2 linked regions of the Drosophila melanogaster genome follow. The protein of the gene in region 1 purifies or fractionates together with the protein of each later gene. This does not show direct contact. Each region holds a gene or a part of one and is shown on either strand. Other genes may lie near its edges.

Region 1 (7,911 bases):
GCAAGTGATTCCCTCGTCCAACTTTCGAAACAAAATTTCAACTTTAAATAGAGTTTCAAAAAATTGTTTAAATTTTTAAGTAAGTGTGCTAGTCCATGTTGTTGTACTCAATAATTTCATATATAATTTATAATATAATTTGGGTACGGCTGAACATCAGTTGTTTTATTGGGTACCTCTTAAGAAGGAATAACTAATATTGTATTCCTTCTAATGAGAAATTTATAAATCTACTATTCATAAATCACCATTATTAATAATTAAATTTATTATTTTGCTCTTAAAAAACATCTTAGGCTGGCTCCATTTATAATTTATAGTACAATTCTTGTTAGCTTTCTCTGTAAGCCATCTTTAACTTAGTACCCTGCGGAGGTACCGTTCTCGCTTCCATTCGCGCACCTTTTCCCTCTGCATATCGCTTCGCGTCCTTCTCGGCTGATATATGGGATCCCTTCTCCTAACAGCGTTTAAATCGAAGGCACCAAAGTGGGAGACCCTTGCCGACTGCTGTTCAATTCCCAGTCCAGTGCGTTGCTTTCGAAGAACAGTCTTGACGGGATACAATCGCCCACTTTGACTCGGTCCCAATCCGTGCTCCTGGTCCCAGCCCTGTTTCACCATCAGCTGGAGTCCTCGATTTTTGGCAGATATGTTAAATTTGTGGAGCTTATGAGCGGGCAGAGCCTTTAGATTGAACTGATGCACTGTGGATGTTTGATGAATTGGCCAGGGGGTTTCTTTGTAGTCCCTCTTACAGATTTCACAGTAAAAGGGGTTGTTGCCATCAACTGACTCATCCTCTTCGCTAGTTTCCTCTAAAATGGGTAGGGATTCCAAAAGATGAACTACATCTAAGTGACCTTTTCGTTGGGCCAGTTTCAGAGCTGTGTTTCCGGATTTGTCTGAGGTCTCTACTTGGACCCCTCTCTGCACGAGCCAACTCACTGCCTCCGTGGCTCCTTCACAGGCAGCCATCATCAAGGCAGTCCAGCCAAAGGAATCCCGAGAATTTAAATCCTCTTCTGAGGCCTTCATTTGAGACAGCTCCTCTACTTTGTTGCTAGTGGCCAAACGGAAAAATTTGCTTTTGTCGAAGGGGACTAGGATCCTTTCTGGCTCTCTTCTTGTTTGTGCAGTTTTGTGGGTACTTGGAAGGTTAGGTTGGCAGGTTGTGGGCGCATCCAACACCTCCTTGTAGAACTCACGAGCTTCTGCTCCGTTTAAGCCATCGATTTGGTGCTTTACTGCTTTCGGGGACTCGGCGATAAAATCCGGATCTCCTGCTCGGACGAATCGCTTCAGTTGGAGTGGCAATGTTGTTAGAGCCAGCCAATTTGGATGCAATTCGTTTTGAGAATTCATTTTTGACAATAATGATGCTAACTCGTTTTGTAAATAAACATTTCGCAGATGTGCGTCAGAGCTGCGTAGTGCTCAAAAATATCGTTTGGAGATAAGTCGATAGCCAAACTAATCGAATATAGAGATGGTGATTTTAGGAGATAAAAAATGAATGACACTGTTGAAATTATTTAGTCAACACTGTCGGTCAAAAATCTATTAATACCGCTCTATGTGAAGTTTCTTAAGCTTCTTTTGCGTTCTTGAAAAAATAAATAATATAAAATACAAAAATAATATTAATTAAGTAATTATATTAAGTAATAAAAATAAAATTAAAGAAATCCCAGAGTCACTCAAAAATGAAATGAAAAATAAAAATTTTTATAAGGCTAGTAAACATTATTTTATTAACACTATCTTCGTTTAGGTGATAAATTGTCCCGATAAGCCGAAAGTATCGATACCATCGTGGGTGGGCGCGCATCTCTACTGTTCTCGGCCTCTGCTTTTTGTCTGTTTTCTACCAAGCGCGAAAATGTGAATTTCGCAATTCATTTAAACTGTCCAAAACCGAGATCAGGCAGGATTAAACTTGCCCCCCAACATCCATAATCAAATATCAAATCAGGAGAACGAACTTAGGATATTCTTGTGTAACGCGTGCCCTGAATAACTGCGCAGTAAAAATCAATAACTAAGTAGCACGCATCGATACATAAATGTAAAACGCCCCAGATAAAAAGGAAGATGTCCGACGAGGAGGAGGATTCCGTGTCCGAGGGCTTCTCGGCCAGCGAGGATGAATGGAAGCCGAGCAAGGACGTCAAGGGAGGCGAGTCCTCCGACGATGATGACAGCGATTTCGATGAGCTCCAGGCGGAGGGAGGAGCAGCGGGCTCCAGTGGACGATCCTCCGCTGTAGCGGGAAAAAGAGGGTGAGAACGGGATAAGGGTCCATTGCTCTGGTACATTTTGAAATTTTCATTCCCCCTCTTCCCAGCAGCGATCACAAGGCACCAAGTGGCATCAAGGGCTCTTCGGTGAAGAAACGCAAGCCCACTGGTCAATCACTTCGCTCCAAGCTGTACAATAAGTACCGACCGCCTCCAAAGACCTTTCCCACTTCTCCTTCGCAACAGAAGGAGAACACTCCGCGGGCTTCGGGTTCAAAAAACGCCAAAACGCCCAATGAAAGCGGTGCACGGAATCAGCACGGTCCTGCTGATTCCAGCAGCGAATCCAGTGTGGAAGACTACCTAGTAAATCCAGCCGATCTTGATCTGCACTCAACCTTCTTTGCCGGCGGCCAAAAAGAGAAGTCACCGGCGCCCCAATTCGATTGTAATGCGGGCATCACAAATCTTTCAGACTCTGGATCGGAGGATAACAACGAGAGCAGCTTCGAGGATAAAGCAGGCAATGCCTTCGACTTTCGCGGTCTCCTGGAGAACGCAAACAGTTTGGAGCGCACTAGGGATGCTTTAAGCAAACGAAATGTCACGGCCACTCCGCCAAGGAGCCAGGCTGCCACCATGGATGTCAATGCGCTGCTTGCATTGGGCGAGAACCAAAACTACCAGAGTGTGGAGGTGGAGGAACGTGAAGGGAATCAGCGTAAGAAGGCGGGAAGAGGAGCACCAGCAGCGCCTCCGACCCTTGATGAACCGTCACGCCTCAGCAAGACGAAGTCAACGCGAATAAAGCGACACACCAAGACGCGACCCGTCTCCACGGTGGTCGCCAACGCTGGTGATACTGATGACTCCGATTTTGAGGAAGTGGCAGGTAGGCGAAAATGCAAGTAGTTTGACAGCCAGGCTCCCGGAAGAGTTGGCGTTGGCAGAAGGCAGTCGAGCATGCTTATCCAAGTTGGTTGTGGCGCTGGCATTTCTGGTATCTGATGAATAAAAATAAGCTTCCAAATTGCTCTGTATGAGACTGTGTAGTTTTGTTTGTACTAAGTTTATTTGTCGATGTGAACAGATAGAAATTACTAACTTACCTGTGCAGCTGCGGTCCAAATAAGAGCATGGTTTTATATAGTGTTGTATACAAATTCTTTAACGAGTTTAAACGTGTTATTTTATATAATAATTTATATTGCATTTTCCGTTAAGACTTATCATATTCGAATGTATTGTCCTAGTTTGACACTAACAATTTCCCCATTTATACAAATCGTAGAAGTTACAAGGAAATGCTTTTATTTTTACCGCAACTGTATGCTAGAATGTACATTTGGAACAGCCGCGTCAAAATAATGGCCATGAATCTACAATATACCTATTTACTGTAACATATTGTTAGTCGATTAGACTGAGAAACTAGCGTATGAGATGCTGCAGACGCTTATCTAGAATCTTGGCTTACTAACCTATTTATACCCCCTAACCATGTCATGAGTCCGTTGTACTTGGCATACGTTTCAATGCAACATTTGTATGTTTAGCCCGAATTTGGGAGATGCCAAGCCAAAATCAAGATTCCTGCGGCATTTGCTACTTAGTTGTCCGCTAAAAAAATAATTAAAGTCTATACAATGATCGATAGGAAAATCTACCACAAAAGCTTATTAAAATCTTTTTTAATGTCAAAAAAATTAAATCAAATGAACATTTTTAAACGTTTTTGCACTAGCTTAAGCCCAATCTGCGTGTTAAACGGATGAAAAAAACAAAAGCATAAACTCAATGTCTACCGAATTCTGAACGTGGTTTAAATGTCTGCACACACACTCTTGATAATAATATGTTAAACAATGATATATTTTACTCAGAAAATGCATTTACTTTTATTTATTATGTCAGTTTTTATATTTTGTTTGCCACGCAACGAAACACGTTGAAGTCAAAAAGAATCTAGTTAACCAAATCAAAATGAGATACAAAAGGATTTTAATCGCAGCCCAGTAATAGAAATAATAATTTGTAAAAGCTAGTGAAATGTCCTAGTCAACTATTTGTGTACTTACTTTATGGCAATGGCAAGTGTTTCAATGAAATCAACAAGTAGCTAACGAATTAGAACTGATGTTTAACGAATTTACTTTAGCAAAATTGTATTCACTTAATATAAACATCTGCATGCAGAGTTCTAATCTAATTTATTAATGATATACTCCAACAATGGATGCAATAAATCAAATGAAACTCGTAATTTTAGCGCAATTTAGTGAATGTTGATTGTAATTAACTCAATAATTGAAATTTCAAATGCACTTTAAAAGATATAAATAAATAAATGCAAATGTTGAAAGGAATCCATGCTCTCTGTCTGGGTATTTTTTGCCTGCCTTCCCTGCTCAATCCTCCCACATAATCATTGGTGCCGAACTTGCTACTAGTAACATTTTTATTACCCGGTTTATTTTAATTCATTTACAAATGTATTTAAATTCAAAATCATGGATATGATCATATCCATGGTTCATATTGGGAATCTCAATTTTCTTTATATCGATTGAAATGTTCGAGTATTAGATATTTTACCCCTCTTTCTCCTCCATTTAAACAAACTCTGTCTATCTCACAGTTCATCATTCAGTCCAGTGTCACATCATCACCCCGAATTGAATCCCTTTTGCAGATGCAGATCTATCCAGTGACCAGGACGATGGCGAGACGCCGAACATCTCAGGGGATTTGGAGATACGCGTGGGACTGGAAGGGCTCCGTCCTACGAAGGAGCAAAAGACTCAACACGAATTGGAGATGGCCCTAAAGCGTCGCCTTAACAGGGACATCAAGGACCGTCAGATTTTGCTGCACAAAGTCAGCCTAATGTGCCAAATAGCTCGCAGCTTAAAGTACAATCGCCTGCTTAGCGAGTCAGATTCCCTGATGCAGGCTACCCTGAAACTCCTGCCAAGCCGAAACGCATATCCTACTGAACGAGGCACCGAACTTAAATATCTGCAGTCGTTTGTCACGTGGTTCAAAACATCAATCAAGCTGCTAAGTCCCAACTTATATTCCGCGCAGTCGCCTGCTACCAAGGAAGCCATATTAGAGGCTTTACTGGAGCAGGTGAAGCGCAAGGAAGCCCGCTGCAAGCAGGATATGATTTTCATATTCATTGCCCTTGCACGGGGAATGGGCATGCACTGTCGGCTAATTGTCAATCTCCAGCCAATGCCACTGCGTCCGGCGGCCAGTGATTTGATTCCCATTAAGCTTAGGCCAGATGATAAAAACAAAAGCCAAACAGTGGAATCCGAAAGGGAAAGCGAGGATGAGAAGCCTAAAAAAGATAAAAAGGCAGGGAAGCCAGCAGAAAAAGAAAGCAGTAAGTCAACTATTTCCAAAGAGGCTGAAAAGAAAAACAATGCAAAAAAAGCTGAGGCTAAACCACTCAGTAAATCAACAACCAAGGGTTCAGAAACCACGAAATCAGGTACAGTTCCGAAGGTTAAAAAGGAGCTAAGTCTCTCCTCGAAATTGGTTGAAAAATCAAAACATCAAAAAGCCTACACCTCCAGCAAATCGGACACTTCCTTTGATGAGAAACCAAGTACGTCGTCCAGCTCTAAATGTCTAAAAGAAGAATATTCAGAACTGGGATTATCCAAAAAGTTATTAAAACCGACTCTATCCTCAAAATTGGTTTTAAAATCAAAAAATCAATCTTCATTTAGTTCCAATAAATCGGACACTTCATTTGAGGAGAATCCCAGTACCTCATCAAGTTCCAAATCTTTAAAAGAAGAGACAGCCAAGTTAAGTTCATCCAAACTCGAAGACAAAAAGGTCGCAAGCCCTGCCGAAACTAAAACTAAAGTACAATCGTCCCTTCTAAAAAGGGTCACCACTCAAAATATTTCTGAATCAGGCGATAGCAAGAAACCGAAAGTGGCTCCTGTGGACACATTCTCTCCAGTGGCAGGTCGCACACGCAGAGCCACTGTGAAACCCAAAACAGAGGAAAAACCGCAGGTGGTTGGATCACCAGTTATACCTAAACTGATGCTGTCCAAAGTTAAGCAGCTAAATGCCAAGCATAGTGATACGGAAAACGCTAGTCCTGCGAATAAACATCTGCAGGAACAGCGCAACACACGAGAAACTCGATCAAGGAGCAAGTCCCCGAAAGTACTTATATCCCCTAGTTTCCTTAAAAAGAAATCCGACGGAGCCGATTCCACTTCAGACCCTCAAAAGCATCAAATGGCGCCGGAAACTAAGGCGCGAATTTCGCCAAACTTTCTGTCCGAAGCTTTGCCAGCTCGTCAGCTACGAAGCCGAGGTCAAAAAGCCAGTAGTCTAGCCATTCCGCAATTAGACGGCGGTGACGATGTGCCGCTACCGAAAAAGCGCCCAAAACTGGAGAAGTTGAAAAATTCGCAAGATTCCGATGAGGTGTTTGAACCCGCCAAGCCGGTGAAAAAGGCTCCTGTACTGCCCAAGTCAGTACAGAATCTGCGAAAAGATCGGCGAGTGATGTCAACAGATGATGAGGGCGGTTCCAGGCTCAATCGGAAAACGGACGCCTCTGACATGTGGGTGGAAGTGTGGTCAGATGTGGAGGAGCAGTGGATCTGTATAGATCTGTTCAAAGGCAAGCTACACTGCGTGGACACAATAAGGGTGCGTATTTATCAAGCCAAATGTCGTGCCCTCCATCCAGTAATTGTATTTTTGTTTCTGCGCAGAAAAATGCAACGCCTGGATTAGCCTACGTCTTCGCCTTTCAGGATGATCAGAGTTTGAAGGATGTGACCGCCAGGTACTGCGCCAGTTGGAGCACCACTGTGCGCAAAGCCCGTGTAGAAAAGGCGTGGCTAGATGAAACTATTGCTCCTTACCTCGGACGCCGCACCAAGCGCGATATAACAGAGGATGATCAGCTACGTCGCATTCACTCCGATAAACCCTTGCCAAAGTCAATTTCCGAGTTCAAGGACCATCCGCTGTACGTGCTAGAGCGGCACTTGCTTAAGTTCCAGGGTCTATATCCACCAGATGCGCCTACATTGGGCTTTATCCGTGGTGAAGCGGTGTACTCCAGAGATTGTGTGCACCTCCTGCATTCTCGGGAAATATGGCTAAAAAGCGCACGGGTGGTGAAGCTTGGCGAACAGCCGTACAAGGTGGTTAAGGCACGTCCAAAGTGGGATAGGGTATGTTGTGCTCATTTTTTAAATGCATATGTGCTTCATTTTATTGTGTTGTATCCTTCAGCTCACGCGCACTGTTATTAAGGACCAGCCATTGGAAATCTTCGGGTATTGGCAAACTCAGGAATACGAGCCCCCAACTGCAGAGAATGGAATTGTGCCGCGAAATGCCTACGGCAATGTTGAGCTCTTTAAGGACTGCATGCTGCCAAAGAAGACGGTGCATTTGAGATGTAAGAAAGGTTTCTTCTCACCAATTTATTTAAATAACCTCGAAATTCAATTATAGTGCCCGGCTTGATGCGCATCTGTAAGAAGCTGAATATTGATTGTGCCAATGCAGTGGTTGGCTTCGATTTTCATCAAGGCGCTTGTCATCCCATGTACGATGGCTTCATTGTTTGCGAGGAATTCCGCGAAGTGGTCACTGCTGCCTGGGAAGAGGATCAACA
Region 2 (5,952 bases), on another chromosome or scaffold:
CTGATAAGAATATACTTTATATGGTCGAAAACGCGTCCTTCTGCCTATAACTATAAACTTTTTTAACTATCATTTGAATAAGGCGTAGTTGCAACTCAAATCAAAACGTGTCAGAATCGCTATTATATATAAACACCGACACTAGACCCTCGACAGGTGAGTGTCCTGTTGGCAGTTACCTAAAGTATATCTGCAGGTGTAAAATATAATGCTTAGTTTATACCATTTAACTTTTAGCCAAAATGACCCAAGTTCCCATTGGCCTCGGCCCAAATATGCTTTAATAGACTAATCGCGAACTGGCTGGCATTTCCTGCTCCGGATCTTAGTCTACTCGCATAGTGATGGCGTTCGAAACGCCCAAGCCCATCATCTTGGCTTATAAGCCAGGATAATACGAATGTTAACAGCAGCAGCAGCGGCTTCTCTGCCCAAAATACATATGTACATAATGCATTAAGCATTAGCCACTTGTAATACTAATAATATCAAATGCTCATTCTAGACTACTTCGTAAGCACCGGCTCAATTATACAAATATAGAACATATTCATACTGTAATAAAAAATAAATCAAAAACCTTTTATTGCAGTCTTCCAATTAAACGCATTTTGAGAAAAAAAAAAAACAGAGAATACTATAGTCGAGTTCCCCGACTTTCAGATACCCGTAACTCAGCTAGAGTGAATGCGGACGCGCAAATTTCATAATTGATTGAAATAATTCAAATTGGCAAGGCAAATAATAAAACGAAGAAAAATCTTAAGTTTTCAAAAGTGGGCGTGGCAGTTTTGTGCGGCTTTGGATACAAATTTAGATCGATAGAACTTTACATGACTTATGAAATTATGAAAAAATATCAAATTCTTCAAAAATTTAGTTTATAGTATATATAGTATAAATGTGGTATACCCTTTTACTCCTCGAGTAATGGGTATAAGTCAATAATGTTGAAAATACGATTATAAGAGTAGCCAGTTGAAAGGTAACTTAATTTTAGGTATATAATGGTATTCGAAGCGTGACAGAAATATGAATAATTATTTTATATCTCAACGCTTCCTTCTATTCCTGAAGTCGCCTTTATTTTCGCCACCCTATTGTGTCAGGTCTGTGTACAATTGTACATTGAACAACAAACTATTTAAAAGAGAATATATGTTGAAGCTAAATAATAAAATAAAAATAACTAAATAAAATAGTAATTAAGTATTCGGCAAAAAATTGAGCTCAGCATTTGAAAATTTTACAGCCCCTCTGATTTCTATCAAAGACAAAAACCTTATATCAGGAGGGTGCCTTCGCTAAAAACAAATATACATATATGTGAAGGATGTCTCCGCTAAAGATGTATTCGCTAAATACATCGAAAATCGCATGCGATATGATCTGTAGATCTGCACTTGAAGTAAAAAATTGGTGAAATTAACATTCATGTAAATAAAATTATAACACGGTTCACGAAATCAAAGTCATCAAAGACAAAGAAATATATAAACAATAGATTTATCAGTTTTAAGATTTGCAACGTGCAGCCCGTTGCCGTCCGAACTTTTTTGTTGGAATATCGATTACAACTGGATTAGATAACCAACTGAATGTAAAGTGGAAAATACTTTTCAATTCCTCGCTACAGTGACAGAGAATGACAAAATTGATTTATTGGTTATTTATCATATTTAATAACACAACAAGTGTTATGTTCATTTAATTTCTTTCCAGTTTTTGTGCCTCTTTCATAAAATTGACTTTTTTCTTTTCTGTACGTGCTTAAAACAATAAATTCTATTTCCTTTTCATTCGCAATTCACCGTTGCGAATTTTTTTTTGCTGCCCAGACGACTTTATACCTTTTGTATCTTGACACACATTTAGTGAGCTATCGATAACGTTCAGTGCTTTTGATTCTTTAAAATACTTATACTAGTTTTTTTCAATCGTCACCGACGCGGTTACACTGGGGATTTCGTGTCTGGTAACACTGTTCCGTATTCTGAAGCTCGCAGCATTAATTTTATAATAATTAATTCCTGCCGTAATGCAACGCGTAAGTTGTGTAGAGACAGTCAGGCACTAGGTGAAAACATCAATTTAACAAAATCATTTGTTCCAGGGCATTGACTCCTTTTTCAAACGGCTGCCGGCCAAGGCGAAAAGTGCCGAGGCCGAAAATGGAGAGACGCCGTCGAAGGCGCCAAAACGCAGGAAAGCCGTGATAATTTCCAGCGACGAGGACGAGGTGGTCAGTCCGCCGGAGACCAAGAAACGCAAGGCTTCGAAGACAGCATCCAGCGAGGATGATGTGGTGGCCGCCACACCGGAACCGATTGCGAAGAAGGCCAGGAACGGGCAGAAACCAGCGCTCTCCAAGCTTAAGCGGCACGTAGATCCTACGGAGCTTTTCGGTGGAGAAACCAAACGGGTGATTGTGCCCAAGCCGAAGACCAAAGCTGTTCTCGAGTTCGAGAACGAAGACATTGACCGGAGTTTAATGGAAGTTGATCTGGACGAGAGTATCAAAGAGGCTGCCCCCGAAAAAAAGGTTCACTCGATAACCAGGAGCTCTCCCTCGCCTAAAAGAGCAAAGAACAGCAGCCCGGAACCGCCAAAACCCAAGTCAACAAAATCCAAAGCCACCACTCCGCGTGTGAAGAAGGAGAAACCTGCGGCAGATCTAGAATCCAGTGTCCTAACAGACGAGGAACGCCACGAGCGTAAACGTGCTTCCGCCGTGCTCTACCAGAAGTACAAAAACCGCAGTTCGTGCCTGAACCCCGGCAGCAAAGAAATTCCAAAGGGATCCCCGGATTGTCTGAGTGGCTTAACCTTTGTCGTAACCGGAGTCCTCGAGTCCATGGAACGAGAGGAGGCGGAGTCCGTGATCAAGGAGTATGGCGGAAAGGTGATGACCGTGGTTGGAAAGAAACTCAAGTATCTGGTCGTAGGAGAAGAGGCTGGACCAAAGAAATTAGCTGTGGCTGAGGAACTCAATATACCCATTCTCAGCGAGGACGGGCTCTTCGATCTAATCAGGGAGAAATCAGGAATCGCTAAGCAGGTAAAGGAAGAGAAGAAAAGCCCGAAGAAGGAGCACAGCTCCGAGGAGAAAGGGAAAAAGGAAGTCAAGACTTCTAGAAGGTCCAGTGATAAAAAGGAGAAGGAAGCCACTAAACTGAAATATGGCGAGAAGCATGATATCGCCAAACATAAAGTCAAGGAAGAACACACTTCCCCGAAGGAGACGAAGGATAAGCTTAATGATGTACCAGCTGTTACCTTGAAAGTAAAAAAAGAGCCCAGCTCCCAGAAAGAACACCCTCCGTCGCCAAGAACTGCCGATCTGAAGACTCTGGATGTGGTCGGGATGGCCTGGGTGGACAAGCACAAGCCTACGAGCATAAAAGAAATCGTTGGCCAGGCAGGAGCCGCCAGCAACGTGACCAAGTGAGTAACCTAAATGTATAAATGGTAGCTTCCACTTTCAAAGTTATATATTTATTATACAGTCACAATTTGAAACTGAAAGCCAAACAGGAGAGGGTTAAAGTTTTACATTATTTTAATTTTCCTAGGCTGATGAACTGGTTGTCCAAGTGGTATGTTAACCATGATGGAAACAAGAAGCCCCAACGGCCCAATCCTTGGGCCAAGAACGACGACGGCAGCTTCTACAAGGCGGCCCTACTTTCGGGACCCCCTGGAATAGGAAAGACCACGACGGCGACTCTGGTAGTGAAGGAGCTTGGCTTCGATGCGGTGGAGTTCAACGCCTCCGACACACGCAGCAAACGCTTGCTCAAGGATGAAGTGTCCACGCTGCTGAGCAACAAATCCCTCTCCGGTTACTTTACAGGGCAAGGCCAAGCGGTCTCCCGCAAGCATGTGCTCATAATGGACGAAGTTGATGGCATGGCCGGTAACGAGGACCGTGGTGGAATGCAGGAGCTGATTGCCTTGATCAAGGATAGCTCTATTCCAATTATTTGCATGTGTAATGATCGCAACCATCCAAAAATTCGATCCCTGGTTAACTATTGCTACGATCTGCGATTTCAGAGGCCTCGCCTCGAGCAAATCAAAGGGAAAATAATGAGCATCTGCTTTAAGGAAAAAGTAAAGATATCACCGGCCAAAGTGGAAGAAATCATAGCGGCTACCAACAACGATATTCGGCAATCCATTAACCACATTGCCCTGCTGAGCGCCAAGGAAGACGCTTCCCAAAAGTCAGGGCAGCAGGTTGCCACCAAGGATCTGAAGCTGGGACCCTGGGAGGTGGTGCGAAAAGTCTTCACCGCGGACGAGCACAAACACATGTCTTTTGCCGACAAGAGCGACCTTTTCTTTCACGACTACAGCCTGGCCCCGCTCTTTGTGCAGCAAAACTATCTGCAGGTCCTACCACAGGGAAACAAGTAAGTCTAGTTTACCTAAGCCAAGGGCGTACCCATTCACCAACTTCACTCTTTGCAGAAAGGATGTCCTGGCAAAGGTGGCAGCTACGGCAGATGCCCTAAGCTTGGGTGACCTTGTTGAAAAGCGTATTCGTGCGAATTCTGCTTGGAGTCTTCTACCCACTCAGGCCTTTTTCAGCTCGGTCCTTCCTGGCGAGCACATGTGTGGCCACTTCACTGGACAGATTAACTTTCCCGGGTGGCTGGGCAAGAATTCCAAGTCTGGAAAACGTGCCAGGCTGGCCCAGGAGCTGCATGATCATACTAGGGTCTGCACCTCGGGCTCAAGGCTATCAGTGAGGCTGGATTACGCCCCCTTCCTTCTGGATAATATTGTGCGACCTCTTGCAAAGGATGGGCAGGAGGGTGTGCCCGCTGCTTTAGACGTTATGAAGGATTACCATCTACTCCGTGAGGATCTGGACTCGCTGGTCGAGCTTACATCCTGGCCCGGCAAGAAATCCCCACTGGACGCAGTGGATGGGAGAGTAAAAGCCGCTTTAACGCGATCCTACAACAAGGAGGTTATGGCATACTCCTATTCCGCTCAAGCAGGCATCAAAAAGAAGAAATCAGAGGCTGCTGGAGCGGATGACGATTACTTGGACGAGGGTCCGGGCGAAGAGGACGGAGCTGGTGGCCACTTATCATCAGAGGAAGACGAGGACAAGGACAACCTAGAGCTGGATAGTTTGATCAAAGCCAAAAAGAGGACAACTACGTCAAAAGCGTCTGGTGGATCCAAAAAGGCTACATCTTCCACGGCTTCAAAGTCTAAGGCCAAGGCCAAAAAGTGAATGCACTAACGATTTCCTATATTATATGATGATTTTTTTGCCATCAAATTTCCCATTTGTAAGTAGTTTTTGTTTAAAATCTCATGAATGGCCGGCACTGGCCGACACTGTTTATACTGCTGAAAATATATATTTACCAATAAAATATGTGCTTGAATTGCAAAACATTTTATTATAACACTGAGTGGCGTAGGTGTAAACTAAAAAGGGAAAAATTGGTAATAAAATAATTGTCTGTATGAATAATACTACGAAAGAATTGAGATGATGATTTTTTAATTGATCAATTGTTTGCTTTAACTGTATAAGGATCAAGAGCGCGAATATGTCAAGCTCAAATTTATTTAAAAAAAATTGTTGGTAACGCGATCAGTGATGGTCACTCCATGCTCTATAATTTAAACTAATTTGTACTATCGTACATTTACATTTGTGAAAAATACGTTTACAATTTAAAAATTAATTTAAGTCTTTAATTTATACTTAATTAATTATTATAAATATATTATAACATAATAACGTTTTTGGCCTGAAACAAATCGATGATGTTGCGAAGCACAATCGATAATGCAGCAATCGATGTTTCGGCAGCCCTGCTATCTCGTGGTAGCGCCAAAGAGTATCGTATCTGAGTTTTTTCCCCGATGTCAACGCGAACGGATGCACGTACTGGGCAGCGGAAAATGCAGTGAAAATTGCCA

Evidence for each region.
Region 2: the proteins of Xpc (region 1) and Gnf1 purify together in Drosophila melanogaster (affinity purification with mass spectrometry, with the first as the bait; one large-scale study listed by BioGRID). This does not show direct contact.

Annotation. Positions count from the first base shown.
Region 1 is NT_033778.4:15,309,686-15,317,596, forward strand, and holds the start of Xpc (xeroderma pigmentosum, complementation group C), read left to right. Parts: upstream 1-1,824; 5' UTR 1,825-2,094; coding exon 2,095-2,282; intron 2,283-2,347; coding exon 2,348-3,132; coding exon of another isoform or gene 3,133-3,152; exon of another isoform or gene 3,153-3,279; intron 3,280-4,932; coding exon 4,933-6,929; intron 6,930-6,994; coding exon 6,995-7,462; intron 7,463-7,523; coding exon 7,524-7,692; intron 7,693-7,748; coding exon 7,749-7,911. Other genes in the region: CG8152 (uncharacterized protein), read right to left, coding at 355-1,365. UniProt on the Drosophila melanogaster protein: Involved in DNA excision repair. May play a part in DNA damage recognition and/or in altering chromatin structure to allow access by damage-processing enzymes.
Region 2 is NT_033777.3:4,904,676-4,910,627, forward strand, and holds Gnf1 (germ line transcription factor 1), read left to right. Parts: upstream 1-1,946; 5' UTR 1,947-2,038; coding exon 2,039-2,047; intron 2,048-2,113; coding exon 2,114-3,444; intron 3,445-3,506; coding exon 3,507-4,415; intron 4,416-4,473; coding exon 4,474-5,251; 3' UTR 5,252-5,406; downstream 5,407-5,952. UniProt on the Drosophila melanogaster protein: The elongation of primed DNA templates by DNA polymerase delta and epsilon requires the action of the accessory proteins proliferating cell nuclear antigen (PCNA) and activator 1. This subunit binds to the primer-template junction.